4 linked regions of the Elephas maximus indicus genome follow. The protein of the gene in region 2 interacts with the protein of the main gene of each other region in a pairwise test. Links are inferred from orthologs where the notes say so. Each region holds a gene or a part of one and is shown on either strand. Other genes may lie near its edges.

Region 1 (7,478 bases), about 19 Mb from region 2:
CAAGGTTGGGATGAGGAGAACCATGAAAGCTGTTCTTGAAAAATAGCCAGTTATTTTCTGGTTTACATTGGGAGCTCTGGTGGCACAGTGGTTAAGCGCTAGGCTGCTAACCGAAAAAAACCGAAAGTTTTGTTCAAACCCACCTTTTTGCTCTGCGGGAGAGAAATGCGGCAGTCTGGAAGCCCTGGCCAGCAATTCTACTCATCTTGTAGGATAGCTATGAGCAACAGGTTTGGCTTGGGTTTATCTTTGGGAGGGGACCATTCTTTTGTTTGAGAACGGGAAAAAACAAATTGCTTTAATTATTTTGATTTTGCAAAGGTAAAACTGCCATTCCATTGAGAATGAGGGTGGAAAGAGCTATACTCCTCTGCATAATAATGGGGAAGGAAGCCGCTTCTGGAAGGTTATCCACAGGGATAACCAGAGGGGGTCCGAGACCCAGGCTTAAGGATTTCCTTTCTTCTCAAGGAGACTTCAGAGATGCAGAGGACTTGGGCTTCAGGTGAGGGTGGATGGAGGTCAAAGGTCGGCCAGTCTCCTACTCTGGCCACTGTCTAGCAACTCAGGGGAAAAGGGCTTGCAGGTGAGGTGGGAACTGAGCCAGGTGGGGACAGAACTATTGGGGGGGTAGGCTTGAGGTGAGCCACTGGGGAACCTACTGTGTGCCAGGCACTTGAGATAAAATGGTGAGGTCTGCAGGCACAGTTCCTGCCTTTCAGGAACTTCAACATCATTCACCTATTTACACAATTAATCTTTTAGTTACAATTCTGGCAAGTGTAGTGAAGACAACAGGCCCTGAATAATCACAACTAACATTGCAAAGCAAGCGCTCTGTGCCAGGTAGTGTTCTAAAGGTTTTACACACTGACACGTCTACTCTTTGCACCAATCTCTTGATCTTGGTACTATCCTTATACCCATTTTACTGAGGAGAAAATGAAGGCACACAGATGGAGTAACCTGCCAAAGTCGTGAGTGCTGGTGCTGAGATTTGAGCCCACATGCCTAGCCCCACAGTCTGTACTCTGGGCCACTTCACTCCTGCTTCTCCAAGTTCACAGGAGAGAAGGCATCTAAAGAGAAGCTGGCAAGCCCAGGGGGCTTCCCTGAGAAGGTGCTGTTTGAGCTAAGACCTAAAGATGAGATGGATCTAACCAAGAGGAGGAAGGACACTGCAGGAAGAGGGAACCGCAGTTGCAAAGGTCCAGGGGTAGGGTGAGAACGAAGAAGAAGTGAATGAAGCCTTCATATGGAGACGGGGCCAAGTCAGGGGAATCTTTATATAAAGAGCTATGGGAAGCCATTGGAATTTTAGAGAAAGTGGTTGATGTACTTGAATTTTAAATATTATTTTGAAAGTTGTGCAGAGAACGAATTGGAGGGGGTGGAAGAAATCGCCTATCCGCTTCACAGCAACTGCGCAGAAGACAAAGAGGTCAGGCTGGGCCAAGATCTGCAGAAGGCAGCCGGCCCCGACTGTGGGGTCTTATTCCCTGAGGGCTGAAGAGCAGGGGGTATTGCGGGGTAAGGGACTAGAACTGGGAAGCCTGGCCAGGGGCGAAAGAGGCGGAGTCTGAAGGGACGTGCAGTAGGTCTTGGCGGCCCGGGAGTGGGCTGACCCGGTAGACCGCACAGCTGCCGTCGAGTTCGGGCGCGGGGCCCTGGTGGGCGGGGCGCTCGGCTGCCAGAATTAGGAGGCGGGGCGCTGGCGGTCCGGCGGCCACGCCACTGTCAGGATAGAGCTGTTGCAGGTGGGGCAGATCCCTGGGGGCGGGGCCCTGGGGGCGGGGCTCTGGGCCGCCCGCGGCCACGCCGCTGTCGCGGGTGCATTCCTGGCTCTTCGGCCCGGGGCAGAGAAGCGCCCGGGCTGAGTCTGCGGGCTTCGCCGGGCGTGGGGTCAGGCTGGCCGGAGCCGGGAGCGGAACCGCGGAGACGTCAGGTGAGCCACGACCCTGTGCCAGGAGCGGGACCCCGGAGGCTCGAGGTGAGCGGGGACCCTGTGCAGGTCCAGGCTGCGCTCCCAGCCGCCAGGGGGCGAGCGGCGGCAGGGCCCCGGGGGCTGCCCCTTCCCAGCTCCGCGGACATGGGCGTCCGGTCGGCGGGGGGTGGAGGGGGCAGTAAATCAGTAACCCGCAGCGTACACAGGGCCTTTTGTCCCGCTCCGTCCAAAGAGCACCCTGGCCATGGAGCTGGTTACTCATTGCCCACCCGGGCGAGGGCAGGGGCGAGGGCGAGGGTGAGCCTGCCATCACGGGACCCACCAACCCGCCCCTCCCCCCAAGGTGGCCCTGGAGGACCATCTGCGCTCCCGGTTTAGGGATGAGAAAGCTGAAGTTCTGAGAGATGCAGTTACTTGCCCAGGGTCCCCAAGCGCGTGAGTGCAGGAGGAAGGAGGAAAACCCGAGTATGCATGATGCCAGAGGTGGGCCCTTGGCCCCTTGTGCCAGCTGCCACCTCTGGTCTGGGAGGGCGGTCACAGGCCATGAGTGAGTCCCACTGAGGGCTCTGCGGTCAGGACAGCTTCGGGGTGGAAATAAAACCTCCGGGGCCTCCCTACCCCACTCCCAACCTAAGCTGTGGACCCAGGGAGCTGCCATCCATGCAGAGCAGAGTGGGGTGAAGGGCTTTGATAGAGAAGGCATTAGTGAGCCTGGGGGGACGGTGGCACAGAGGCAGTGGCATCGGAGCCAGGTGGAGAAGGGCAGAGGTATGGGCTGATGACTTTAGTGGTTCTCAAAGTGGCAGAAGGTGAGGCCAACAAGATTGGCATGAGCAAAAAAGGAGGCCTAGGATGCTGGATAAACAGTGTGGGCTTGATCCTGCAAGCCACAGGTAGCCATTAAGGGCTTGTAAGCTGAGGGGTGACATGCCAGACTTGAATTTTTGAAAGTCCTGCTGGAAGGTGGAGGCTGAAGAGCTCAGGGAGATGTTGCAAGGGTCCAAGCAAGAGATGACCATGACCTGGCCTGGGTCGGAGCAGAGGAGGTGGGATGGACTGGAGGGAGGTTGAGGAGAACATCTAGGATGTGGGGTGTGGTGGACAGGGTTGATGCCTGGGCTGCTGACTCTGTGAGGACAACCCAGGGAAGGCTCAGTCTGAAGGGGAAGATTATGTCTTTGGCCAGAACAGATTGAGTGTCCCCCATCCCAGTCCCAGAGCTGGATGAGGAGCAGTGGCTGAGGAGAGAGGGTGCAATGGGCTTCCTGGGCAAGATAGATCCAGAGATACCAGTGCACTTGGCTGTTACCCAGCCCCAGGTAACAGCCACTAGGCCTCTGGGGCTACAATGGTCACCCTATTCCCCTGACCTAGCTGAGGCTCTGTTCTGAGTATTCCTTTTGGGGTACAGAGATATCCTGGGTGCAGGAGGGTAACCTGGATGAGGAAAGTGTGTATATCACTCTTGACAAACAGCACCAGAAACGGAGATGACTGGCTGAAGGCAGACCCAGGGTAACAGGTGAACAGTCACCTATATGGACTGGAGGGAAGCAGGAAGAGAATATTCCAACATACGATGTCCCCAGTCTCTACATACATTGTCTCTTTTATCCTCAAAGCAACTTACATAAGAAAGTGGTCCAAAGAGGGACAGGGACTTGCAAATTTGTAAGAGTCAGGATTTGAACATGGCTGTGTCTGACATTACAGTCTACATTCTTTATAAAACCCTGTGTTGCCTTAGATGGAGTTGTGAGGGGACAGGAAGCAGAGGTATCCCCAGGATGCAACTCTGGTTCAGAATAAGAATTTGATCCTTGGCATGGGGTGTGCTGTCTTGTTAGTAGTGAGTGCCCTGCCACTGGAGGCATCCAGAGCCAGTCATGGAAATGTCAGCAATGCTCTAAGGACTGCGGGTCAGATCAGACAACTTCCAAATGCTGAAGTTTTGCCTTGTATTATATTTCAGATTTTTTTGGCTCTTCAGCAAAAAATTTATTTATTCAGCAAAAAGTAAATTATGTGCGATGAAAGCGAGCAGAAGATGTGTCTCCATTCTCTACTTCCCTCCAAGCAAAGAATCCCAAAACTGTTCTTTCTGTGAGCTTGTGCCAGGGTCCCAGCAGGACCCGAGATGAGCAGGAAGCCCAGCCCCACCATCCACACAACCTGCTGTGGGGAGGCCTTGGGCTCTAGCAACATCAGAGCTGGCTCCATTCTCTGCCCTGTTGTGGCCTGGCTGGGGGCCTAGACAAGTCTGCTGACCATTTCCTGTCTCAGTTTCCTCATCAGCAGAGTGGGCATGTGTCACAGGTGGGTGTGTATCAAGAGCTCCTCTCCCTCCCTGTTTCAGGAAAGCAGTCGGTGTGAAGCCCAGCCCGGGTCTGAGTGAGCAGCAGGAAGGAGATGTGGCTACTGTTGGCCCTGTTGGGAGTCCTCTTGGGGGTGCCCAGGGCCCCAGCCTTGTCCCTTGAGGCCTCTGAGGAAATGGAGCTGGGTATGGCCCTGAGGGGGGAAAGGGTGGCAGGGGTGGGAAGAGTGGGCACAAGGAGGGGACTGCTGGCTGAGCAAGGCTGGAGAGGATCCTGGCTCAGGCCCTGAGGGGATGGTGGCAGGGCAGGCCCAGCCATTGAGACTCAGTGTCTGGCTCCCAGCAAGCACCTACCTATCTCTGTGTCCGAGAGCAAGGAGGGCCCTGTGGGGCGGAGGGCCCTGAGCTGGGCTGCAGAGCTGGTGGTGAGCCCCTTGGCTGTGTGTGTGTGAGTGTGTGTGTGCTGTGCACTGAGTGTTGGCATGGGAGCATGTGCAGTGTATACAGTATGAGTGTGATGTACTCCAGAGGCGTGCCCTGTGTGTGGCACCTACAGCATGTGCCATGTGTGTCTTGGGCAGTGTCATGTCCAGCATGTATGGACGTGCAGTACATGTGTGATGTGCCCCTGAGGTATGGCATTTGCCCTGTGCGTAGTACCTGTGGCATGTGGCTGCGTGTGTGTCGAGGAACAGTGGCGTGTCCAGCATGTGACACGAGATGCTTGTGCCCTTTGTGTGCAGCATGTTCTCTGTGTGCAGGGGAAGGGCCCAGTGGGCCTGCGGGGCTCACTGATTTCTGCCCTCGGCCCACAGAGCCCTGCCTGGCTCCCAGCCCAGAGCAGCAGGAGCAGGAGCTGACCATGGCCCTAGGGCAGCCTGTACGGCTCTGCTGTGGGCGGGCTGAGCGTGGTGGCCACTGGTATAAGGAGGGCAGCCGCCTTGCACCAGCCGGCCGGGTACGGGGCTGGAGGGGCCGCTTGGAGATTGCCAGCTTCCTGCCCGAGGATGCTGGCCGCTACCTCTGCCTGGCACGAGGCTCCATGCTTGTCCTGCACAATCTCACCTTGGCTGTGGCTGGTAAGAAGGTCTGGCAGGGAGCGAAGGACTACCTGAGGAGAGAGATGCCCCACCTGGACCTCAGATGCCACCCTCTATCACTGATGCAGACTCCTTGACCTCCAGCAGTGATGATGAGGACCCCAAGGCCCACAGGAGCCCCTCAAATGGGCACGTTTATCCCCAGCAAGGTCAGTATGAGTCCTCGAGGACTTTTCTCACTACTGGAGAAGAGACCTGTGTCGGAGCAGGTGGTCATCCTGGGGCACTAAGCTCTCCCTCCCTTCCTCACCCCTCCCTTCCAGCACCCTACTGGACACACCCCCAGCGCATGGAGAAGAAGCTGCATGCGGTGCCTGCAGGGAACACCGTCAAATTCCGCTGCCCGGCTGCCGGCAACCCCACACCGACCATCCGCTGGCTCAAGGACGGACAGGACTTCCATGGGGAGCATCGCATCGGAGGTATTCGGGTGAGTCTCCAGGTTCCAAGACCATCTGCTCACTCATTTTCATTCCTTCATCTGTCCCCTCATACCTGTAAATCAAACCCACAGATTCTTCTCTAATGAGGAAGGCAACTGCCTGACCCCAGGATGAGCCAAAAACTCTGGACTTGGATGGTTCTGGTTCAAGTTCCCAACTCTGCCACTCGCTGGCAAGTGATTCCGTTCATAAACTGGAAAGAGTCACTGACTGATGGGTCTAATCAGCTTTATTAGCTCTCATTCTCATAACAAAACCCCACAGGGCCACTCCGCTCAATAGTGAGAAAACTGAGATTCAAAGAGGTTAAAGACAGGCTCAAGGTTTGCACAGCTGGGGTGAAGCAGAGCTAAAACTCAAAAGATTCAAACCTAGAGCTCCGGCAGTTCTCAGAGCCTTCTCCTCTGTCCAGGGTCCCTGGCCTTGGCCTGGCCTCTCCAGGGCTTGCAGAGCTTGAGATGAGCCCTTTAGGCAGGATCTATCCTTCCTGTGCCCTGGCCCCGGTGGTGCGTGGGCTGTGGCCCCTCGTGGACACTTCCCCTACCCCCAGCTGCGCCACCAGCACTGGAGTCTGGTGATGGAGAGTGTTGTGCCCTCAGACCGTGGCACATACACCTGCCTCGTGGAGAACTCTGTGGGCAGCATCCGCTACAGCTATCTGCTGGACGTGCTGGGTGAGCGGACTGGCAGGGGAGGTGGGGTGGTGGGGCCTTGACCTGTCTTGGGCCCAGTCCTGTCCTTGGATAGGGCCTGGCCTAGCAGGCAAGATGGGCTTGATCTTAGATGATTAAAGCAGCTCAAAGTGACCAGGTGGGTCAGATGGAAGCACAGGGGCAGTGCGGGCTTAGAGAAACAGGGATCTGTGGGGCGGAAAAGTAGGGAAGGCAGCCCAGCAGAGGGCAGAGGCTGAGTAAAGGCCCCTAGGTGTAAAGACCACAAAGCATCTGGGTGGAGGTACGTGCCAGGGGTGTGGCATTTAAGTGAGGAGCCAGACCAGGGAGGGTTTCGAATGCTAGGCTGACAAGTTGGGCTTTATCCCAAGGGCACTGGAGAGCCATAGAGGGTTTAAGCAGGGGGTGGACAAGGTCTGAGCTGCATGTCAGAAAGGTCCCTCCTTCGAGCCAGGGGGTGCCTGGAGGCAGTGAACAGGGTGCCTCTGTGGGTGCCACTGGTCAGGGTTGACGGCCCGGCCTGGCCCCCAGAGCGGTCCCCGCACCGGCCCATCCTGCAGGCAGGGCTCCCAGCCAACACCACAGCCGTGGCAGGCAGCGACGTGGAGCTGCTGTGTAAGGTGTACAGTGACGCCCAGCCCCACATCCAGTGGCTGAAGCACATCGTCATCAATGGCAGCAGCTTCGGTGCCGACGGCTTCCCCTATGTGCAAGTCTTGAAGGTGCGGCCCTTGCTAGTGCCTGAACCCTAACCCGGCCCCCATCCTGGGACAGCCTCCAGCTTCCCTCCTACCCTTGCCACGGGTGGCCCCAGGCCCTACTGTGCCCCCTGAGTATGTCCCCCGCCCCCAGACAGCAGACATCAATAGCTCAGAGGTGGAGGTCCTGTACCTGCGGAACGTGTCCGCCGAGGATGCGGGCGAGTACACCTGCCTGGCAGGCAACTCCATCGGTCTCTCCTATCAGTCAGCCTGGCTCACGGTGCTGCCAGGTGAGCACCCAAGG
Region 2 (7,474 bases):
GACAGCAAACCAGGCCGTGCTATGAAACGTGCCCCTGCACACTGTCCCGAGAGCCACCAGCCAGAAAGACAGCAATATGTGGGCAAGGAGGTCGGGGGACCTTCTGCATTCATGGAAAACCCTCCACCAGCAGGGCGCCGAGAGAATCTCAGTACAGGGAGGGTGAAACGGAAGCTCAAAGGTAAAGCTCTTTCAAGGTCAAATGCCAACCCCTCCCTGTTCTGTTCCAGCTCTTCTGAGAAAACTGAGAAGAGCTCAGTGCTAGGGGCCCTGTGCCCAGGATGTGAAGGGTACTGGGTCAGGACCCCAACCTTGTGGATTCAGTCCAGCATCTCCTACGTCTGGCCTCAGTTGTGTCATCTGTCAAATGAGTCAGACTGCAGTGAGTGTGCCATGTGCCAACTGTAAAGGGCTGTGCATGCATGCAAAGGCAAGGCCTCTGCCTCACTCTGTGCTCCACGTCTGGGACTGGCCAGGAGGAGATGCCCCCTGACACAGGGCTCAAGCATCCAGCATGAGAATGGGGTGTGGGGGCAAATGGGGGAGACCACACAGCAGACACACAGTCCTGGCTAGAATCCTGGCTCCAACCATCCTGGCTTGGGGACCTCAGGCAAGGCACTTAATGCCTCCAAACCTCAGTGTCCTTATCTGTAAAATGAGGTCGCAGGCTGAGAAGCATAAATGAGAGGGTGCATGGCACATGGAAAAGAGAAGGGGCACAACATCCTGTGCCAACCCCAAAAAGGCTGATGGGGGAGGCCCCTGACCTTCTGCCCAACCCTCCCACATCGCCTGTTCCCTGTATCCACAGATAGACCAACACCCTAGCCTCCCTGCAGAGGCCCAGAGAGGGCAGCGTCAGCCTCAAGTTACCCAGCAGGGTCCCTCCCCACCGGCCTTTGCCCATCACCCATGCCCCCTCTCCCTTCACAGCCCTGTAATTCTAACTTCTATTTTGATGAGGCACCCCTGCCTTGAATAGCTGAAAGTGCCTCCAAACACACATTGCTTCCGATAAGTTCCTCCAACCCAGGAGCGCACAGGCTAGCAAAACTCAGTGTGCCATGACAAAGCCAGCCCAGACCACGCTCCTGAGTGGGGAGTGTCCTGCTGACCGGCTCCCAAGCTCCATGAGGTCTGTGCAGAGCGTGCCCCTCCCCTGCCACCTCCCCCAGTGAGTGCCTCCCAAGTTACTCACCGCAGTTGGGCAATGGTCAGGGATCCAGCCTCCCACTTATGTAAGACATAATTACTCTGCCCACCCAGCTGGGCTCTGGCCCACAGCCATGGAAGCCACCAGCAGCAGGGCCAGGCAGGGCCACACCCGCCCCCGGACCCCACACAGCCTCCCACAGCCCGGGCCCCTCCAGCACTGATTAGGATACCACTAACTGCTCCTGTGACCTGCTTCACCCCACAGTTGCAATTCAAACAGAGGTACGTCCTTGACCCTGCATGGCTGAGGCCTTTCTAAAAATAAAAACTGCAACAATAGAAATACGCACAGCCCTGTCCCTTCCTGAGCACCTACTATGTGCTGGGCACTGCACTGAGCTCTTCACAACATTTTCCACCTCTTTACACGCACTGTCATATGTATATATCACCTCTCATCACAGCACCCGTGCCCCCTGCCACGTCTGTGGAAGGAAGGTGTGATTACCCTGGTTTTGACTGAGGCCCAGAGGCACTAAAAGGCCTGCTGGGGGAGGTGGCCCATTCATCACAACTATGTCCGGTTTGGAAATCTCTCACACGGCCCAGTCTGCTGAGATTCTGACACACCAAAACATCCTTTCCTCTTCCTGCAAAAAAATCCCCTTTTTGCCCTCCAGGCCCGTCCTCCCCCCTCTGCATGACAAATCCCGCCTGGCCGCCACCTCACAAAAATTTCCAGGAAGGCCTGCGACTTGGAAAAGACAGAGCAAGCCCCTTTCGAGGTAAGCACCCTGGTCTGGCAGCTGGCCCAGGACCCACGGGCCGCCAGGCGAAACAGGCCTGGCAGCAACCAGCCTGGTGCCTGGCAGTGAAGCCATGGGTCCAGTGTGGAGCCGGGCACATGAGGGTACAATAGGAGCAAGGAGAGGAAGGGCCGAACGTCAGAGGGGGTGGGGGCCTCAGAGTGGCCACAGATTAACGAGGAACCTAGAGTGGTTCCGGAACCAGCGTTGCAGGGTGGGGGGTGTAGGGCAGGGTGCAGAAGCATCTGGGGAGAAGCCCGGTGCAGCCAGCGAGGATGGGGCAATGTGGGGGCCCACAGGGACAGAGCCAGCCAGTGAAGGGGCCGTTCTGAGCTGAGGTGTAGCCAGCGTACCCGCCTGGGGTGGGGATGCAGCAAGGTCCCAGCAGGGGAACTCACTGAGGTCCAGATGGAGGGATCAAAGTTAAATACCAACCTGGACACAGCCAAGGGATCAGGTGGGAGCAGAGTGCGGCCCACCTGGGTCCCGCTAAGGACCCCGGCCTGGGAGTCCCCTGGTCAGGATGCAGCCCTAAGGCCCACTCTGCGGGTCAGAGAGAGTTCCCGATTCCCGACAGGAGAGGGGGTCAGAGTGCGGTCCCAGCCTCTGTCAGCCCCGGGAGCTCCCAGGCCTGCGTGCAGCCCCAAGGTCCACACTGGGGGTCAGAAGAGGTCCAGCCCAGCGTCGGATCCGGGACTGGACAGACTTGAGAACCTGAGGCGCTGTCGAGTTCCGGATGGGTGGGCCCCCAAGGAGGCCAGGGTTGCAGGCAGGCCCGGGCCCGGCCTGGGGGCGGGAATCCGACCGCGGGTCCCGGCTGGCTCCTACCTTTGGACTGGGGCGCGCTGGGGGGCTGGCTCGAGGCGGGCGACTCCATGGTGCAGGCGGGCCGGCGGCGCGGCGATGAGGCCTACTCGAGGGGGTGGCGGGCTCGGTCGGGGCCGCACGGACTCATGGCTGCGGGCGGGCGGGCAGGCGGCCCGGGCGCGACGGGGCAAACGGGCGGCGGTGGGAGGACGCGACCGCGGCGGGCGGCGCCGTAGCCAGACTGGGCAGAGCCTCAGGGGCCGAGCTAGACGGCGCCGAGACGCAGGCCCCGCCCCACGCGCCGTTTGGCCCTCCGTCTCCAGGCCGCGCTCCGCAGCCTATCAGACTCCAGGTTCGCCCCTGCCCGTCAAGCACAAGACCTCGCCCCCCCATTTGTTCAGCTGCAGACCCCGCCCACTGCCTGTCAAGCCCGCCCACCACCCGGGAAACGGGGCCGAGCCAGGCTCCGCCCCCTTCTTTCTAAAGCCGGGCCCCTGCCGTTGCTTGTCAAGAACCAAGCACCGCTCACTTCCCGCCGGGAACCTCCGAGCCCCGGCCTCAGGCTGTTCGGCATTAGGCCCTGCCTGGCGCGCTGATTGGCCACCAGTTTCCAAGGCGCGTCTCGGGACCCGTCAGACGCCAGGCCCCGCCCCGTCTATCAAGCAAGAGGCCTAGACCTCCGTTCACCCGGAATCAGGCCCCGCCCACTGCCTTTCAAGCCCGCCCTCCGCCCGGGAAACTAGGCCCCAGCCAGGCTCTGCTTTACTGGGTCCAGAGCCGGGACCCTCCCGCTCCCTGTCAAGAGCCAAGCCCCGCCCACCTCCCGGGAACCTGTCAGCCCGCGTGCAGCGCCCCCTCCCCAGCCTACCCAAGCGCGCCAGGTGCAGGGGCGCGACCTGGGGTGTGTTGTCTGGGAAAACCCTGAGATCTCGGAGCGCGGCCGGCCAACCCGGCCGGGGCCCAGCGCGGCGGCAGACAGGGTGTTGTGGAGAGGCTAAAGCGCGCCCCGATGAAACCTGTTTTACGTCCTGACTGCACCTTTCCAGCGGGGATTACCTGGGGTGACTCAGGCGATAACCCTGAGCCTCCGTTTCTCTCTCTGTAAAACAGTGCGACAGCAGCCCGTGCCACGGAGCTTTGCTCGCGAGGACGGAACAGGCGTCCGCAGGCGCTCAGGACGCATTTGTTTAGTGAATAGGAAGGGCTGCACGCGTCCACACACATGCACTCTCCTCCAGCCGGTATCAACGTGGGGTGTAGGGGTGCGGGGGGAGCGACACCGCGCTGGCTAAGAGGCAAGGAAAGTAGCTTTAACGGTTGCTGTCGTTACTACCCGACCCCTCTCCCGTTCTACACATGGGGAAACTGAGTATAAGGGAGTCGAGTGGCACCTCTCAATTCATTTTACTCAGTTCAGGGGCCCCGGTGGTCCAGTGGTCAAAGTTCTTAGCTGCTAACTGAAAGGTCATTGGTTCAAAGCCACCAACCCCTCCACAGGAGAAAGATGTGGCAGTCTGCTTCCGTAAAGATTTACAGCCTTGGAAACCTAATGGGGCAGTTCTACTCTGTTCTGTAGGGTCGGTATGAGCAGGAATCTACTCGAAAGCAATGGGTTTGGTTTTTTGGTTTGGGTTACTCAGTTCAGTAGGCCGTGACCAAGCTCTTATCCAGGCTTGCACTTTGGCCTGGTCCTCTCCCCTCCCCTCTTGGGGCCCTATCTGCTCATCTATAATGGCTGGTTGGATCTTCTCCCTTCTGCTCCCACTTGGAGCCTCAGGGGATTTCAGGCCCCACCAACCAAGCTGGCACTGGCATCCAGTGCCCAGAATGAAAAGCCACAGGCTAGAGAGGCAGGAAGGCCCTGCAGAAGTTAAAGGAGTCAGTCATTGCCCTGGGCAGGCATGGGTGTGGGCTTGCCTGATGGGGGTCTCCTGTGACTCCAGCAGACAGGTCTGCTGAAAACACTTGGAGCAGGGGGCTGACCTCTGCTTGCCCTTCTGTAAAACAGAGGCGACCCCACAGGGCCCCACCCACACCAGTGGGGAGGGCCAGATGAGATAAGGAAGGATGTGAAGCAGCCTTATAATTATCATTATTCTCTTCCTGCATCTCTGGCTCACTGTCTTAGTTATCTACTGATGCTATAACAAAAATACCTCAAATGGACGGTTTTAACAAACAGAATTTTGTTCTCTCAAAGTCTAGGGGGATAGAAGCCTGAATTCAAGGCCCAGGCTCCCGGGGAAGACTTTCTCTCTCCGCGGGTTCTGGGGGAAGGTCCTTGTCATCACTCTTCCCTGGTCTAGGAGATTCTCAGCCCAAGGACCCCAGGTCCAAAGGACATGTTCTGCTCCATCGCTTCTTTCTTGGTGGCAGGAGGTCCCTCTCTTCTTTGCTCACTTTTCTTTTATATCTCAAAAGAGATCAACTCAAGATACAACCTTCAATTGAGGCCTGCCTCATTAACATAACTGCCTCTAATCCTGCCTCATTAATATCACAGAGGTAGGATTTACAACACATTACATCAGATCACAAAATGGTGGACAGCCACACAATACTAGGAATCATGGCTAGCAAATCGACAGACATTCTGGGGGGACACGATTTAACCCATAACATACGCTTTCCAGGCAATGGGATGGAAAATTTTGATCTTTGGACTCAGGCACAGGTTCAATTCCCAACTCCAGATGTTGGACAAGTCACTGAACAGCTCCACACCTCAGCTTACTTACCTGTCCCACAGGGACAGTAAGATCTCCCTGAAGTCATGCTTGAAAGTGTCTGGCACAGGGCCTGGCACACACTAACTGCCCAGGAAAGGTAAGCTCAAGGACACACTGTGAGCCACCTCCTACAGGAAGCCATCCAGGCTGTTCCACTCTGGGTGCTCAGGGAAGAAAGAGGCCTGGAGCATTCTATTTCAAATGGGCCACTTGAGCTAGTCATTTCACCTCAAGAACATACCAATACAGATTCTGGCTCAGGGCCTTTGCTTGCTGTCCCCTCTGCCTGGTGCATCTTTCCCCCATGATTCCCTCAGTTCTCCCCAGCAGCCTCCCCAGTCATGGCCTGACATCATTGTTTGTTCTCTGCCCAGCACCCACCCTGCCAATGCCAGTCTTCTTCACTGTTTTTTAATCTGGCTCACTCCCTTACAGCATCCGCCTCTCCTGAGCAAAAATGTTGCCCACCCCACTCCCTGCTGCATTCCTGAGCCATAGCCCAGGGTGGCACATAGTGGGTGCCTCATAAGTATTTGAGAAATGAGCAAAGCAAGAAAGGAAAGAATACCACAGCCATCCATGGAGTGACTCCAGTCCAATGCAGGCCTCCCGGGCACCCAAGGAGTTTATGGATTAGTCAGGGAGCCTGACAAACAGCCTAAGAATCACAAAACCTGATGTGGGATGCTATAAATAGACACATGAGCATGAGGCCAAGGAAGGTGCCAGAACTCTACCTGGAGTGAGGTCAGAGAGGGCTTCTCAGAGGAGGTGACTTTAAGACTGAACTCTTAATGGCCAAACAGGAGTTCACCAGGCAGAGAAGCAAGAAAGCAAGGCTGGGAGGAGCAGTAGAGGCAAAGGCTAGGGGTATGACTGGGCTACACGTGGGGCCAAAACATGGTGAGGGCCAGACTGGCATGCAAATCTGAGTTGGGTGGAGGGGGAGGCACCCCACTGCAGAAACCACAGACCTTCTTATTCTCTTGCTGGCTGGTTGTAGCAATATCTGTGGACCTCCTCTGCCTCTTCATGGTCCAGTCAGGCTGGGGCACCTCATGACCCCTTAGAACCAGAAGGGACATTTGACATGGGCCACCACCACAAGCCTCTTACCCTGACTCCCAAAAGAAAAGTTCTAAGTACTCCTCTCTGGCGAGACAGGGACACTGAAGCTCAGAATGGGATGGGGTGTGAGCTGAGGTAGGCAGGACCTGGGAATCAAGGAAGGAGAAAGAATGGTTCAGACCCACCGTCATGGATTGAATTGTGTCCCTCAAAAATATCTGTCAACTTTGTTAGGCCATGATTCCCAGTATTGTGTGATTGTCCACCATTTTGTCGTTTGATGAAATTTTCCTATATGTTGCAAATCCTATCACTATGATGGATTAGCGGCAGTTATATTGATGATATCTACAAGATTAGATAGTGTTTTAAGCCAATCTCTTTTGAGATATAAGAGACAGAGGCAAGCAGAGGGACAGAGGGACCACATACCACCAAGAAAGCAGTGCTAGGAGCAGAGCCTGTCCTTTGGACCTGAGGTTCCCACGTGGAGAAGCTCCTAGACCAAGGGAAGATTGATGACACGGACTTTTCTCCAGACTCAAAAGAGAGAGAAAACTTTCCCCTGGAGCTGGCACCCTGAATTTGGACTTGTAGCTACTAGGCTGTGAGAGAATAAATATCTCTTTGTTAAAGCCATCCACTTGTGGTATTTCTGTGACAGCAGCACTAGATGACTAAGACATCCAGGATTGGGTAGTTCGTTCACTCATTCAACAACTCGTTATAGAGAATTTACTGTGTACCTGGCAGGGAGGGCACAGTATTGAACAAGACAGACACAGCTCCTTGCTCTTGGGGAGGGGACACAAGGTGGATGTTATGGATTGAATTAAAAAATGTCCCCCAAAAATGTGCATCGACTTGCATAGGCCATGATTCCCAGTATTGTGTGATTATCCACCA
Region 3 (7,103 bases), on a different chromosome or scaffold from region 2:
CCACTCCAGACAGGAGATGCCAACATAGTCTCATACGTCTACTTCATCCAAGAAGCTCACTCTTCACCAGTGTCATTTTCGATCCCATTGTCCAGTCCAATCCCTGTCTGAAGAGTTGGCTTTGGGAATGGCTCCCGTTGTGAGCTAACAGAAGGTCTGGGGACCATGACCTCCGGGGTCCTTCTAGTCTCACAGTCAGACCATTAAGTCTGGTCTTTTTATGAGAATTTGAGGTCTGCACCCCACTGCTCTCCTGCTCGCTCAGGGGTTCTCTGTTATGTTCCCTGTCAGAGCAGTCATTACCTGTGTTTTGACTATGCAAAAGCATCCAACTGTATGGATTGTAACAAATTATGGATAATATCGCAAAGAATAGAAATTCCAAAACACTTAATTGTACTCATGAGGAACCTGTACATAGGCTAGGAGGCAGTCATTCGAACAGAACAAGGGAATACTGCATGGTTTAAAATTAGAAAAGGTGTGTGTCAGGGTTGTATCCTTTCACCATACTTATTCAATCTGTATACTGAGCAAATAATCCCACAAAATAGACTGTATGAAGAACGCACCATCAGGACTGGTGGAAGACACGTTAACAACCTGCAACATGCAGATGACACAACCTTGCTTGCTGAAAGTGAACAGTACTTGAAGCACTTACTGATGAAGATCAAAGACTACAGCCTTCAGTATGGCTCAACATAAAGAAAACAAAAATCCTCACTACTGGATCAATAAGTAACATTATGATAAACAGGGAAAAGGCTGAAGCTGTCAAAGATTTTATTTTCCTTGGATCCAAAATCAACACCCATGGAAGCAACAGTGAAGCAATCAAATGAGACATTGCACTGGACAAATTTGCTGCAAAAGACCTCTTTAAAGTGTTGAAAAGCAAATATGTCACTTTGAGGACTAAGGTGCACCTGACTCAAGCCACGGTATTTTCAATCACCTCATATGCATGCAAAAGCTGGACAATGAATAAGGAAGACTGAAAAAAAGAACTGATGCCTTTTAATTATAGTATCTGACAAAGAATATTGAATATACCACGGACGGCCAGAAGAATGTACGAATCGGTGTTGCAAGAAGTACAGCCAGAACGCTCCTTCTAAACAAGTATGGCGAGGCTTCATCTAAAGTACTTTGGATGTGTTATCAGAAGGGACCAGTCTCTGGAGGAGGACATCATGTTTGGTAAAGTAGAGGGTCAGTGAAAAACAGGAAGACTCTCAACAAGATGGACTGACACAGTGGCTGCAACAATAGGCTCAAACACAACAAAATTGTGAGAATGATGCAGAACCAGGCAATGTTTCGTTCTGTTGTACAAAGGGTCCCTGTGAGTCGGAACTAACTCGACAGCACCTAACAAGAGCTCTAAATATTTTTCTTCCAAATGGGTAGCTAATTATTTCAACATCATTTGCTGAACATCCTTTCCTCACTTATCTGAAGTTTTTCTTTTGTTATACCATAAATTTCTATAGATTTTTTACTGTCTTTTTAGACTTTCATTCCGTACTAATATATTTTCCCGTTCATATACCAGCACTGAACACTTTCGATTATAGCAACTTTATAGTACATTTTCATTATCTAATAGGAAAAAGCCCTCCGTTGTCCATTAATTTATTTTTCAAAACTTTCCTATTAATGTCATACACTGACTTCTGCTCCTAGGATGATGGGAGTAGACATATGTTTCCCTATTCCTCCCAATAAGTACAACTCAAAATCCTGGACATTATATATAAAAGAAACATAAGACGACTTTTAAAGGTGGGAAGAATGCAGGCCAGCTAGGGATCTCACTACTCAAAGAATGGCACGGTAGTGAGTTCCCCTGGGTTTTTTCTTTGCCTCGTATGTCCTAGACTTGAAGCTGAAGAAACCGACAACCTGGAAATACCCATGGGGTACAGACAAAAACAAAAGCCTGCTCTCTACAGTCAACGGACCAGGAAAAGGGGCAGTCTAGCAGAAGAGAAAGTTCTTAGGTAGTAACCACTCAATTTCAGTCAAATCCCACGCAAAAAAACTGTGGTCCTACTTCTACCCATGCCAGCAAAGGCTGAGTAGGGAGCCTACACTTCCACCCTAACAAGGAAGTAATAACATACCCCAATACTTTCCGCAGGATGATGTCAGAGAAAGCCAAGTAGGGACCCAGAATTTTCATCCCCACTGGTTGGAAATGAAGGCCCACCTCCCACAATGTCGAAGGAGATCACATGGAGAACCTGGATTTCTACCCCCACCCAGTAGTCATGAAGTACTGCGCATCCCCCAACCCTCCACTGGGTGGTGTCAGATGAAGCACAGTGGAGAGTCAGAATTTCACACTGCCCAGTGGTGACGAAACCATTCCCATCATGATGTCAGTGGAGACAGTATGAGGAGCAGGAACGCACATCCCCACCCAGGAGTGACAAGAAGCCCCCTCCCCAAATCAACAGAGGCCACAGGCTTCTACCTCCAAGTAGCAGTAATGTGGCTACACTCCCTTCTTTCCCTGCCAAAGTGATGTCAGCGAAAGCCAGCTAAAATTGTTGTTGTTGTTGTTAGGTGCCGTCGAGTCGGTTACAACTCATACCGACCATATGCACAACATAACGAAACACTGCCCAGTCCTGCGCCATCCTCACAATTGTTACTATGCTTGAGCCCATTGCTGCAGCTTCTGTGTCAATCCATCCGGTTGAGGGTCTTCCTCTCTTTCGCTGACCTTCTATTTTACCAACCACATGTCCTTCTCCAGGGACTGATTCCTCTGGATAATATGTCCAAAGTATATAAGACATAGTCTTACCATCCTTACTTCTAAGAAGCATTCTGGCTGCACTTCTTCCAAGACAGACTTGTCCATTCTCTTGGCAGTCCATAGAAGGTTGAAATAAGATCCAGTGTTGCGTAACAGGTTTCAATCAAACATTACTCATCAGACCAACAACCTGGAAAATCTCAAACTGAATGAAAAATGACAATCAATACATGCCAACACCGAGATAACACAGATGTTAAGATAATCTGACAAAGATTTTAAAAAGAGCCATGATAAAAATGCTTCCACGAGCAATTGCAAAATAACATAAAACAAATGAAAAAATAGAAAGTCTCAGCAAAGAAACAGATGATATAAAGAAGCAAATGGAAATTTTAGAACTGAAAAACACAATAGCTGAAATAGAAAGCACAAGGCCTTAACAGCAGAATGAAAGGAACAAAGAAGAGAAATCAGTGAAACAGAAGATAGGACAACAGAAATTACACAATCTGAAGAGAAAGAAAGCGCACTGAAAAAAAAATTGAACAGAGCCTCAGTGATGAGTGGGGCTTTAACAAAAGTTTCATGTTATTGGAGTCCTGGAAGGAGAGGAGAAAGTAGAGAATGAAGAATATCTCTGAAAATTTCCCAAACTTGATAAAACAAAAACCTACAGGTTGAAGAAGTTGAGCAAATCCAAAAAAGGATAAACCCAAAGAAATCCGTGCCAACATACATCATAATTAAACTTCTCAAAACCAAAGACAAAAAAAATCTTGAAAGTAGCCAGACAATACCTTAAATGATATCTTACCTACAGGGAAAAAACAATTCTAAGGACAGGATTTTTCATCAAAAACCATGTAGGCCAAAAGAAGTGGCACAGTATTTTTCAAGTTCTGAAACAAAAACTGCCAACACAGAATGGTATATGCAATGAAAATATCATTCAGGAATGAAGGGGAAATCAAGACATTCTCAGATGAAGGGAAACTAAGAAGGGAATTTGTCCCCAGCAGACCTATATCCTAACAGAATGGCCAAAATAGTTTCTCTAAATAGAAAGGAAATGATAAAAGAAGGACTTAGTAGTATCAGGAATTAAAAAAGACATAGTAAGCAAAACTATGGGTAAAATCACACTTTGGTGAGAGGCGTCTGGGGTCTTAAATGCTAGCAAGCGGCCATCTAAGATGCATCAATTAGTCTCAACCTACCTGGAGCAAAGGAGAATGAAGAACACCAAAGACATGGTAAGTATGAGCCCAAGAGACAGAAAGGGCCACATAAACCAGAGATTCCATCAGCCTGAGACCGGAAGAACTAGATGATAATGCCTGGCTACCACCTATCACTGCCCTAACAGGGAACACATCAGAGAGTCCCTGATGGAGCAGGAGAAGAGTGGGATGCAGATCTCAAATTCTCATAAAAAGACCAGGCTTAATGGTCTGACTGAGACTGGAGGGACCCTGACAGTCATGGTCCCCGGACCCTTTGTTAGCTCAAAATTGGAACCATTCCCGAAGCCAACTCTCCACACAGGGATTGGACTGGACTATAAGACAGACAATGATACTGGTGAGAAGTGAGTTTCTTGGCTCAAGTAGACACATGAGAATATGTGGGCAATTCCTGTCTAGTGGCGAGATGAGAAAGAAGAGGGGGACAGGAGCTTGTTGAATGGACACGGGGAATACAGGGTGGAAAGCAGGAATGTGCTAATTAGCGGGAGAGCAGCTAGGAGTACCTAGCAAGGTGTGTATAACTTTTTGTATGAGAAACTGGCTTGATTTGTAAACTTCTACCTAAAGCATAAAAATAAATTTTTTTTTAAAAAGGAAAAAACATGGGTAAAATCAATAGGCTTTTCTTCTCGAGTTTTCTAAATTAAATTTGATGGTTGAAAAATATTAACTTTGAGGAAATATTTAAGACAACTATAAACAGGAGGGTAAAGGGTCCTAAAGGGAGGTAGGGCTTCTATACCTCACACAAACTGGTAAAATCACCACACAGTAGACTGTGAAAAGCTATGTATATATAATGTAATACCTACAGTAACCACTAGAAAAGGTATACAAAGAGATTCACTGAAAATCACAATATATGAACCAAAACTGAATTCTTAAAAAAAAAAAAAAGTTCAAGTAACCCACAGGAAGATGGGAAAAATAAAAGAGGAACAGAAAACAAAAATAAAATGGCAAACTTGAGTCCTAACATATCAATAATTATATTAAACGTACATTATCTAAATACACCAATTAGAAGACATAGACTGGCAGAGTGGATTAAAAAATATGACCCAACTTAGGCTGCCTACAAGAAATTCACTTTAAGTATAATGGTAGAGACAAGCTGAAAGCAAAAGGATGAAAAAGGATATATGAAGCAAATAATCAAAGGAAAGCAGGAATGGCTATATTAATAATAATCAGAGAAAGTAGACTTCAAAAAAAGCAAAGTACTACAGACAGAGTGGGACATTGTATAGTAACAAAAGTCAATCCACCAGCAATCCCAAATCCTCAACAACCCAAACCCATACCATCAAGTTGATTTCAACTCTTAGTGACCCTTTAGGACGGAGTAGAACTGCCCCACAGGATTTCCAAGGGTGTATATCTTCACAGAAGCCGACTGCCACATTTCTCCCTCGGAGCGGCTAGTGGGTTCAAACTGCTAACTTTCAGTTAGCAGCCAAGCACTTTAATAACTGTACCACCAGGGCTCCTCAAATTCTAAACAGCAGAGCTTCAAAATATGTGAAACTAAAACCGAAGGACCTGAAAAGAGACAAAACCACAATTATGGTTGGAGACTTTCAATAACCTTCTCTCAACAACTGATAGAACAACTAGAAATAAAGTCTACAAAGATACAGAATTCAACAGCACCATCAATCAACAAGTTCTAACTGACATTTATAGGAACACTCCACTCAGCTCATTCTTTTCAGGTGTACACAGAACTTACACTATACCCTGGGCAGTAAAATATCAAGAGAACTGAGTGTGTTCTCCAACCAAAAAGGAATCAAACTAGAAATCAAAACAGAAAAATCACAGAAATATCTCCAAACACTTGGGAACTAAACAGCATACTTCTAAATAACCAGTAGGCCAAAAGGGAAGTCTCAAAGAAATAAAAAAAATACACAAACCACCAATATCGGGAATGAAACAGGGATATTGTTACAGACCGTGAACACACAAAAAGGAATAATGGAACACACCCGTTGCCATCAAGTCAATTCCAATTCATAACAATCCCATAGGACAGAGAAGAACTGCCCCATAGGGTTTCCAAGGAGCTGCTGGTAGATTCAAACTGGTGACTTTTTGGTTAGAAGCTGACCTCTCAACCACTGTACCATCAAGGCTCCAATAAGAGAATACTAAGAACAATTTACACGTGTAAATTTGACAATTTATACAAAATAGATCACTTTAAAAAAACCGCAACTGAACCACTGTGCAATAGATATTTTGAATAGCCCTGTAACCACAAGTGTACCTCATTTTATTGCACTTTGCTTTTTTTTAATTATTCTGCTTTAAGTGAAAGTTTACAAATCAAGTCTATATGAAGAAGAACGGGGCATCAGGATTGGAGGAAGACTCATTAACAACCTGCGTTATGCAGATGACACAGCCTTGCTTGCTGAAAGTGAAGAGGACTTGAAGCACTTACTAATGAGGATCAAAGACCACAGCCTTCAGTATGGATTGCACCTCAACATAAAGAAAACAAAAATCCTCACAACTGGACCAATGAGCAACATCATGATAAACGGAGAAGAGACTGAAGTTGTCAAGGATTTCATTTTACTTGGATCCACAATCCACAGCCATGGAACAGCAGTCAAGAAATCAAAAGATGCATTGCATTGGGTAAATATGCTGCAAGGGACCTCTTTAAAGTGTTAAAAGCAATGATGTCACTTTGAAGACTAAGGTGCACCTGACCCAAGCCATGGTATTTCCAATCGCATCATATGCATGTGAAAGCTGGACAATGAATAAGGAAGACCGAAGAAGAGTTGACACCTTTAAATTGTGGTGTTGGCGAAGAATATTGAATATACCATGGACTGCCAAAAGAACGAACAAATCTGTCTTAGAAGAAGTACAGCCAAAATGCTCCTTAGAGGCAAGGATGGCGAGACTGCATCTTACATACTTTGGACATATTGTCAGGAGGGATCAGTCCCTGGAGAAGGACATCATGCTTTGGAGAGTACAGGGCCAGAGGAAACGAGGAAGACCCTCAACGAGGTGGACTGACACAGTGGCTGCAACAAGGAGCTCAAGCATAACAACGATTG
Region 4 (7,376 bases), on a different chromosome or scaffold from region 2:
AATTGTGGGACCCAAATTCTACTAGCTTTATATTTCCCAACGCCTTTCTACTTGAGGACTTTTTTTTTTTTTTTTAATCACAGGGCCCTGCTGTCCTCCTGGGACTTCCAGAGGACAAGGCCCTTTCTTCAGTCAGGATGACCTAACCAAGAGCCAGCCTCCATCACCTCCTGGCCACAGCTGTGTGTTGGAAAGCTGGCTGGCTGAGGCCCCTAATAAAGAGCAGACCTCCCCATCTCCTCATTCCCTCCCCCATCCCTCACATGAGTTTTCAAATTAAAAGCAACTGAAAACTAAGTCCTGAGGAGAGAGGGAAGTAGGAGGCACAAAAATATCGCCAGACTGAGGAGGCCAGGAAAAGGTATCAAAGAAATCCAGATCCAGTGGAGGGCCAGTCCAGCCACATCTTTCCCGGGCTCGTGAGTAGCCTATGGCCCCCTTGCTGGGCTGAATCATAAAACACAGTTAACAGCTTGGGTCCTTAGTTAGGTCAGTTAGCACGCTATGGTGCTAGGAACCCCTCAGTGAGGGTGCTGCTGGTCATGATTCTCTTCACTGGAAACTGCTTTCTACTACTTCTCTCTGCAGAGGGGATGGGGTTCAAGGGACCCTGAAGTGGCGCTGTGCCTTTAGATCCAGTCAGCAGACAAGGAGGAGTGGAGGTGTGTGAGGGGTCCCAGAGAGAGGCTAACTGCTGTTCCAAATTACCCACCAGCCTGAACCCTTCTGGAGAGGTTTTCTTCCTCCTTCTCCATGACTTGGGCCTCTCTGAATTCTGAGCGTGCAAAGCGGTACAGAGCAAGCTTTGGAGCCTTAGCTGAGGCAGGCCCCAGGCAAGGGCGGAGCTCCTTCCCACTTCCCCTGGGGACCCTCACATCTGTGCTCCACATCCACAAGCTCCTCAGAGCCTTCTTGGCCAAGGTCCCTTCGCAGGGCCCAGGGAAGTGGCTCCTCACGCGCAGTCAAGAGTTGAATGGGGGAGGGAGGGGTAGTTAGTGCCGTTTTCTTTTGCAAACCACCAAACTGCTTTTTATTTTCAAATGGCGAAGCCAGAAACCTACCCCGCCCCTATTAACTCTTAAAAAAAAAAAAAATTGCAAGTCTGTTTAAACGTCAATTTCACAACAAGGATTTTGATAAAGAAGCCCTGGTGGCAAGTTTAAGCGCTGGACTCCTAACCGAAAGGTCGGTGTTTGGCCCACCCAGCGGCTCTGAGGGAGAAAGACCAGGCGATCTGTTCCCCAGTAGGACTGGTGCTTCAGGATTACAGCCTACAAAACCCTATGGGGCAGTTCTACTTTGTCACATGGGGTTGTTATAAGTCAGAATTGACTGGAGGGCACCTAACAACAACAATCACAGGTCTTCTAAAACAAAAAAACCTTCTGGAATCTCCGAGGAAAGGAGAATTGGGGGCGGAGCTGGGGGGGGTGTCGGAGCAGAGGAGAGCAGACAAAAAGCCAACTCTGCGGGAAACGCCCACGAAAGCCAAAGGTGGGACGCTCCTAGGAATTGGACCTGCGAGCCCGGGAGGCAAGGCAGGGAGAGGTTTCTGTTTTCAGTGATCATTTTCATTTGTTTGTTAAAAAGTTTTCAGGGCTCTCGTTTTGAAGGCTGGCTCAGCTACTAAGTCTCCTCTTCCTACCTTTGCAATCGATTTCGTGTGGCCTGCGGGCCTAGCCATGGGAGGCCAAAGTCAGAACCGCTGCGCCCCGAACCCCACCGCTTTCCCAAATTTCCCTCTGCTCAGCTCGGGAGTTGAACCACCTTCTCCTCCGGTCGCTGTAGCCGAACTCCCAGTTTTCGGAGAAAACCCTCATTCTTAACGCCTTGATGCTCTCGCAAGGAGAAAAAGCATGAGAAAATCTGGGTGCAGGCCGCGACCTTTGCCAGCAGCCCAGGCCAGAGTTCCTCACCCCTCCCTCCCTCGGGGCAATGGCCCGCCTCCGTAGCCCGCCTCGCCTGCGCGGCTTCTTGCAGGTTTCTGCTCACGGGCGTCGGGGCAGTAATCTGGAAGGATTTTAGAGCAACACGGAAAGAGGGCCGCTCGGCTTGCCCATCTTCCTTGACACCACCGCTGAGCGATCGACGCAGACCTGACCTCTCGCGAAGCCGCGGACCAGGCGCGTAGGGCGGACACTACATTCAAACCCGCCTATTAGCAGTGGGAGGGGCGGGGGAGCGGGATTGCCGGGCAGGACGGGGTTTCTGGAACGAACAGCCTCTGTTCCAGGGCCTCCTGCCCCGAGGTTGCTCCTGACCACTGGGTTTATTTTGCTTTTGCAGGGGAGGCAGATGTTGACCTCTCTGTCTTTGCTTGGTCCCGACTAGGCGAAATCTGCCCCCAACCATTTGCTTCCCTGCGCCACCCCCCACCGGCGCGCTATCCCCGGAGCCAGCTCCCCAGGCCTTTAAACCGTCGAGAATGTCACACATGGAAGCCTTTAGCAAATGTTTGTTAATGATCATAACAAAGGCATCATTCAAATTAGGCAGGTAATTACTACCAGAAGGACAACTGGGTGCTCGCTGGCTCATCCATTCTCTGGGCTCTAAAGGCGAAGAGTTACGGCCCGAAGAACACCCCCCTGCCCCGCCCGCCTAGCCTGCTTTTCGGGCTCCTTTAAGCGTCTCTGAAATGAACTGTGAAGTTACTATTTGTGGGCGGGGAGCGCTGGGGCCCGGCTTGCAGGAGACCCCGGCCGATCCCGCTGGCAGTTTCCCGGCTGCAAAGCAGACCCTCCTGGGTAGACTCCCGGCCTCACCTCCTGCCCTCTTGAGCACCTGGAATAAAAACCTGGGTCTCAACTTGTCTTCAATAACAGCATGAAAGCCACCCCACTTTTTTCCTTTGTTCTGCTTTCTGCATTTGTTTTGGGGGTTCGTTAGTCTCTGTTCATTATCTACAAACATTACGGTATCCTGTTAGCATTCCGAACAAGGGGCTGTTCATATATTTGCCTTCAATGATTTCCTGAAGGAACATGTGGAAGTAATAGCGGGCCCGTGCAGTCACCCGAGCTGAAGATGCACGAGAGGCGGGCGTGCAGAAGGGCCGGGGGAATGGGGCCCCCAGCCCAGCCCCAGGCGCCCTCCTTCCTAGCCCGACACCCCAAAAGTCTGGTCCTGTTAAACTCAGCACCCTCCCTGCCCACTGCCTTGTGCCCACCCTCCGGGTTAGGGAAGAGGTGACAGCTGTCCAAATTGCCATCCTCATCCGGGCTGCTCCAGCAACTCTGAGGGTGTGCGTGTTGATGGGGGAAGAGGGGTATAAAGATCACCCCTACTCTCCCAACAAAAGAATTCAAAATTAGAGAAAGCAGGGAGGTGAAAGCTCTCCCCTCCCCCGCGCTCGCTCGGAAGCCCCGCTCAGCCTAAGCCTGGTTCCTGGAGCGTCAGCGCCCCCTTTCCCTCGCGAGCAGGATGGTTCTCTCCCGTCTCAGTCTCTTGCCTAGCGCCTTAGGCGCAGGATTTGGGGCTCCGCTCTCAACCCTAGGGCTTTCGTAGGGTCTGACCTACTAAGGTAAGGGGGCACCGGTGGGGTCAAAACGCACCCACCCCCAGGACGCAGAGAAGGCAGGCTTGTTGTAGACGATCCCCAAATGTCCAAGCGTGTGCCTTTTTGTATTCGAGAAAGAAGACTGGGTCACCTCGCCCAGATAACCCCGAAAACAAAGGCATGACAAGATAAGTGGCTCCATGGGAGTAAAGGTCTTTCTGCCAGAGAGATATCCAAATTCACACAGACCCTCGATTCTTTCTAACCCCTTTCAGACCCAGTCTTTTAACAAACCATCATCGTCATATGGGACTATAGAGTTTGCCTAATCCCATTAAAGGATTAGCAAGGACACCGCACTTTTCCCAAAAGATACCAGGTTCAAAACGACGCAACCGCTTGGAGACTCCATCTCTAGTTGCACCAGGAGTTTCACCAGAAGGGACATTTCTAGATTCCAGATTTATATTCTTTCTGGCCATTAACTGCATTTTTATGTGTTCTTTTTCAAGAGAATACAAAACAGTAGAGCAGCGGAGGTTAACATCCCCCAATTCGGGAGGCAAACTCATTCTGGAAATGATGGTCAGTTTGTATTTTCACGAAACCTCTCTCCCTGCAGAGCATCAACACCTCCCCTATCCACCACCCCCACCCCATCTGGTCGGCTTCTCCCCGCCCCCCAGTTGTTGTTGAAGTCTGGGGGGTTGGGGCTGGATCCCCTGACTGTGTAAGAGCAAAAGCGAAGGCGCAGTGTGGAGGCTGGGACAGTCAGAGTGCCTAGAGTTCGAGGGAAACTTTTATTTTGAAGAGGCCAAGGGGGGGGGGGGCTTCATTTTCTGACAGCTATTTACTTAGAGCAAATGATTAGTTTTAGAAGGATAGACTATAACATTGAATCAATTACAAAACGCGGTTTTTGAGCCTATTACAGTTGGAGCTAGAGGGAGAGAAAACAGGAGGGAACTGCAGGAGAGGACTGGAGACCGTGGACACACTTTTTACTCCATGTGTAGGATTTTCATTGCGGATTGACATAGGAGGAGAAGGTAAGAGAGAAGAAAAATGATTTTTATTTCTAAGGGAAGCCCTTGATCAGACTGTGGGCTGGAAGAAGTGAAGTAACTTCTCTCGAACTTTGTGCGTTGAGAGGAAAAAAAAGGAGTTGAATTCCAGTTATGTGTCTAGAGAATAATTTATTCTGAATAAACCTTACTTGGGGAGAAGATAACCATAGAGTTAGAAAGTCTGGGGATTAAAAAAACACATTTTCCAGACCTATTTTTAAAAGCAGTGTTTTTCCAACAACCCTACGGCCTCTCAGAGAAATTGTTTAGGCTTACATTTTTGAGGTTTCTTTTGGGGGGTAGGGGTGGTTTTCGTGGATACTAGGACGAGCACCAAATCACCCTGGGGGTGAGGGCAGAGGTGTTTTGCCCTCTTCTTGGCAATGGGTCCTGGAGGGCGACAGATTTTTTAAATGAATATTTTCATTCCTCCCCCGCGGTTTGGCGGGACAGCACTGGAACCCGCGCTGTGGAGCGCGGCTGGGAAACGAAGGGAGCGAAGAGGCCGAGCGAGACGCCGGGAAGGGGCTTCGGGGGCCGGAGAGGCGTGAAGGGCTCAGCTGGAGGAGGGCGGACCTGGGATGCCGGCCGGGTGCACATGGCGCCGGCCGAGCGCGCGTAATTACTGGACGGCGCTGCGCCCAGAGACAGTCGGGTCCAGTCTCAGCACAGCTGCGGCGGCTGCAAGACGAGCAGAGGGGGCGCGGGCTTGGGCGAGGGTTTGGGGCGCTTCCCAGCCATTTGCCGGGTCAAAGAGGTGAGAGGGAGAGAGGGCGCCAGCCCCGCAGTGCGCTTGGGTTGCGGGGGCGGCAGCGGCGGCGGCGCGGACTTGCGGTCTGGAGTAATGACAAACACATTTGGCCTCGAGTGAAGAAGTCGTCGTCGCCTCGCATTCCAGCAACTGGGATTTGAGGAATTTAGAGTTGCGCTCCTAGAGGCTCTTGTTGTGCGCGGTGGTCTCCCGCCCCCACCCGTCCCTGCACGCTCCCCTCCTCCTTTGGAACCGATTCTGCAAAGCCTTGGGCTTTGCTGCTGGCCAGTCCCGGCCTCAGGAAGCAGAGGGAGGTCTCCAAAAAGTGCTGGATTTCTTGTGGGGAAGGAAGTTAGGGACGTCTCGAAACGGAAAAACTTGTTTCCAGGTAAGACAGAAAGGTGGGAGGCGACCATTTTCTCTCCTTCCCTCGGGGCACCGGAGTCCTGGAGCGCCCCCCCCCCCAGCCCTCTGTGCTCCTCTCCGCGCCGGTTGCGTGGCACTTGCCGCCTGCGCGCGCCCTGCGCTGCTTCATACTCTTCAAGTGCCCTTCTTTCTTAGTCCCCTCTTTGCGCTTGCGTCCCCGCCTGCATCGGAGCCTCGCGCCCCTCCTTTCTCCGCCGTCTATCCCCTTGGAAGTTGACTTTTACGTGTGAGATTAACTTCTCCTGCAGCGCCAGGGGAGCGGGCGGCGTCCACTTGGCTCCGAAACAACTGGGCTCAGCGGCTCTGTGCGGAAAGTGTCTTGGCCACCTCGGAGCGAAATAGGAAGCGTGACCCGACTCTCTTCCGGCTGCCCGAGGCAGTCAGGAGCCCGAGAGGCCCAGCTAGGTGTGCAGAAGCTGCCGGTTGGCGTGGTTCTGAGTCTTGGCTGGGAAGAAAGTGCTGTGTTCGTCCATTGTCCCTCTCTCCCGCAGCCAGAACGCGCGTCCCACACTTCGCGCCCCCAACCCCGGCAACACTTAAGGATTGGCAGAAAGAGTGCCTGGGAGAACTTGGCACTTACTTCTTCTCCAAGGGTGGGAGGCAAACGGGGCTAGGGAGAGACCGTGGATGGCCTCTATCAAGTCCAGGTCGCTCCGCGCCGGGCCCAGTCCCTTGGAAAAGTCCTGGGCTGGGCGGGATGGGAAATAGCTTTTTTGGCTTCGTGGCCGAATTGCTCAACGTTTTGGACCGACTCGCTTCACTGCGGTCGCTCCCTACCAGAACTAGGCAGCTTTTTGGAGTAGTGGAGGCATCTAGGGCAAATGGAGCACAACAGTCCTCAGCCGCACAGCGCGCGGACCAACACCCTAGCCTAGCGAGACCCGGGTCCGTCGGAGGGGAGGAAGGGGCACCCCGGCGCGCACACCTCACCCGCTGCTGCGTGGGGTCTTGTCTTTACACCCTTTCCCACTTAACCGACTTGTACCCTGGTGCTGTTGCATTGAGTCCCCTCCCCCTTCCTCTCCCCTCGGCCTCCATTCCACAATCCTTTCGGTGAGGAGCCCTTCCTGGCTTCTTCGACAGGCGAGAAATGGTGGAATTGGGGGTAGCGGGGAGCAGACTAGCCTCACTTTGACTCCCTGTTCAGTCGCTGCTTGTAGGCTTTGCACAGTCCTGTTCTTGGCTTGACCTAAGTGCAGCTAGATTTTAGGCTGGGGGGGGGCGGGGAGGTGAGGGGGCGGGGAGGAAGATGGCAATCGGTCGCGGAGAATGCGCCTGCCGCTGACCCCCAGTGCCTCGGTCTCTTCGCCAGCTCTTAAGCTGATAGGGACCCGGTGCAGAACCGGGGCTCCTGGCTCACGGCCCGGGGACGCTTTCCTCCCAAGGCGCGGGCTGAGGAGGGGTGCAGGGGGAGGGACATAGGGCCGGGCTTTCCAGCTGCAAACGCGTCTGGCGCCGAGGCGGGCGGTTTTGCGCCTCCTGGGGACGGGACGTGGGCGGCGCGCCGCGCCCGGACGCGTCCTGGGGACGTGGTGACCAGAGCCTTCCTGCAGACCCTAGCGGGCGGGACTCCCTCCGGCCTCCTGGGAGCTGCGACCTGGTTACATATCACTGGTGGGAAACGATTCTGGGG

What was found.
Region 1: the proteins of MAP2K3 (region 2) and FGFR4 come close enough for resonance energy transfer, tested with the Homo sapiens proteins (2 studies listed by BioGRID). The link is inferred for Elephas maximus indicus from reciprocal best matches to the Homo sapiens genes MAP2K3 and FGFR4.
Region 3: the proteins of MAP2K3 (region 2) and ARNT come close enough for resonance energy transfer, tested with the Homo sapiens proteins (2 studies listed by BioGRID). The link is inferred for Elephas maximus indicus from reciprocal best matches to the Homo sapiens genes MAP2K3 and ARNT.
Region 4: the proteins of MAP2K3 (region 2) and PDGFRA come close enough for resonance energy transfer, tested with the Homo sapiens proteins (2 studies listed by BioGRID). The link is inferred for Elephas maximus indicus from reciprocal best matches to the Homo sapiens genes MAP2K3 and PDGFRA.

The regions. Positions count from the first base shown.
Region 1 is NC_064820.1:197,382,650-197,390,127, forward strand, and holds the start of FGFR4 (fibroblast growth factor receptor 4), read left to right. Parts: upstream 1-4,476; 5' UTR 4,477-4,749; coding exon 4,750-5,338; intron 5,339-5,427; coding exon 5,428-5,508; intron 5,509-5,622; coding exon 5,623-5,789; intron 5,790-6,352; coding exon 6,353-6,476; intron 6,477-7,004; coding exon 7,005-7,195; intron 7,196-7,325; coding exon 7,326-7,464; intron 7,465-7,478. UniProt on the Homo sapiens protein: Tyrosine-protein kinase that acts as a cell-surface receptor for fibroblast growth factors and plays a role in the regulation of cell proliferation, differentiation and migration, and in regulation of lipid metabolism, bile acid biosynthesis, glucose uptake, vitamin D metabolism and phosphate homeostasis.
Region 2 is NC_064820.1:216,261,530-216,269,003, forward strand, and holds the start of MAP2K3 (dual specificity mitogen-activated protein kinase kinase 3), read right to left. Parts: upstream 3,015-7,474; 5' UTR 2,842-3,014; coding exon 2,793-2,841; intron 1-2,792. UniProt on the Homo sapiens protein: Dual specificity kinase. Is activated by cytokines and environmental stress in vivo. Catalyzes the concomitant phosphorylation of a threonine and a tyrosine residue in the MAP kinase p38.
Region 3 is NC_064821.1:184,929,063-184,936,165, forward strand, and holds the start of ARNT (aryl hydrocarbon receptor nuclear translocator), read right to left. Parts: upstream 3,003-7,103; 5' UTR 2,892-3,002; coding exon 2,819-2,891; intron 1-2,818. UniProt on the Homo sapiens protein: Required for activity of the AHR. Upon ligand binding, AHR translocates into the nucleus, where it heterodimerizes with ARNT and induces transcription by binding to xenobiotic response elements (XRE).
Region 4 is NC_064823.1:107,360,392-107,367,767, reverse strand, and holds the start of PDGFRA (platelet-derived growth factor receptor alpha), read left to right. Parts: upstream 1-4,364; 5' UTR 4,365-4,548; intron 4,549-5,022; coding exon of another isoform or gene 5,023-5,166; intron 5,167-5,621; exon of another isoform or gene 5,622-5,705; intron 5,706-7,222; exon of another isoform or gene 7,223-7,376. Other genes in the region: uncharacterized protein LOC126076748, read right to left, coding at 1,768-2,139, 5,023-5,166. UniProt on the Homo sapiens protein: Tyrosine-protein kinase that acts as a cell-surface receptor for PDGFA, PDGFB and PDGFC and plays an essential role in the regulation of embryonic development, cell proliferation, survival and chemotaxis.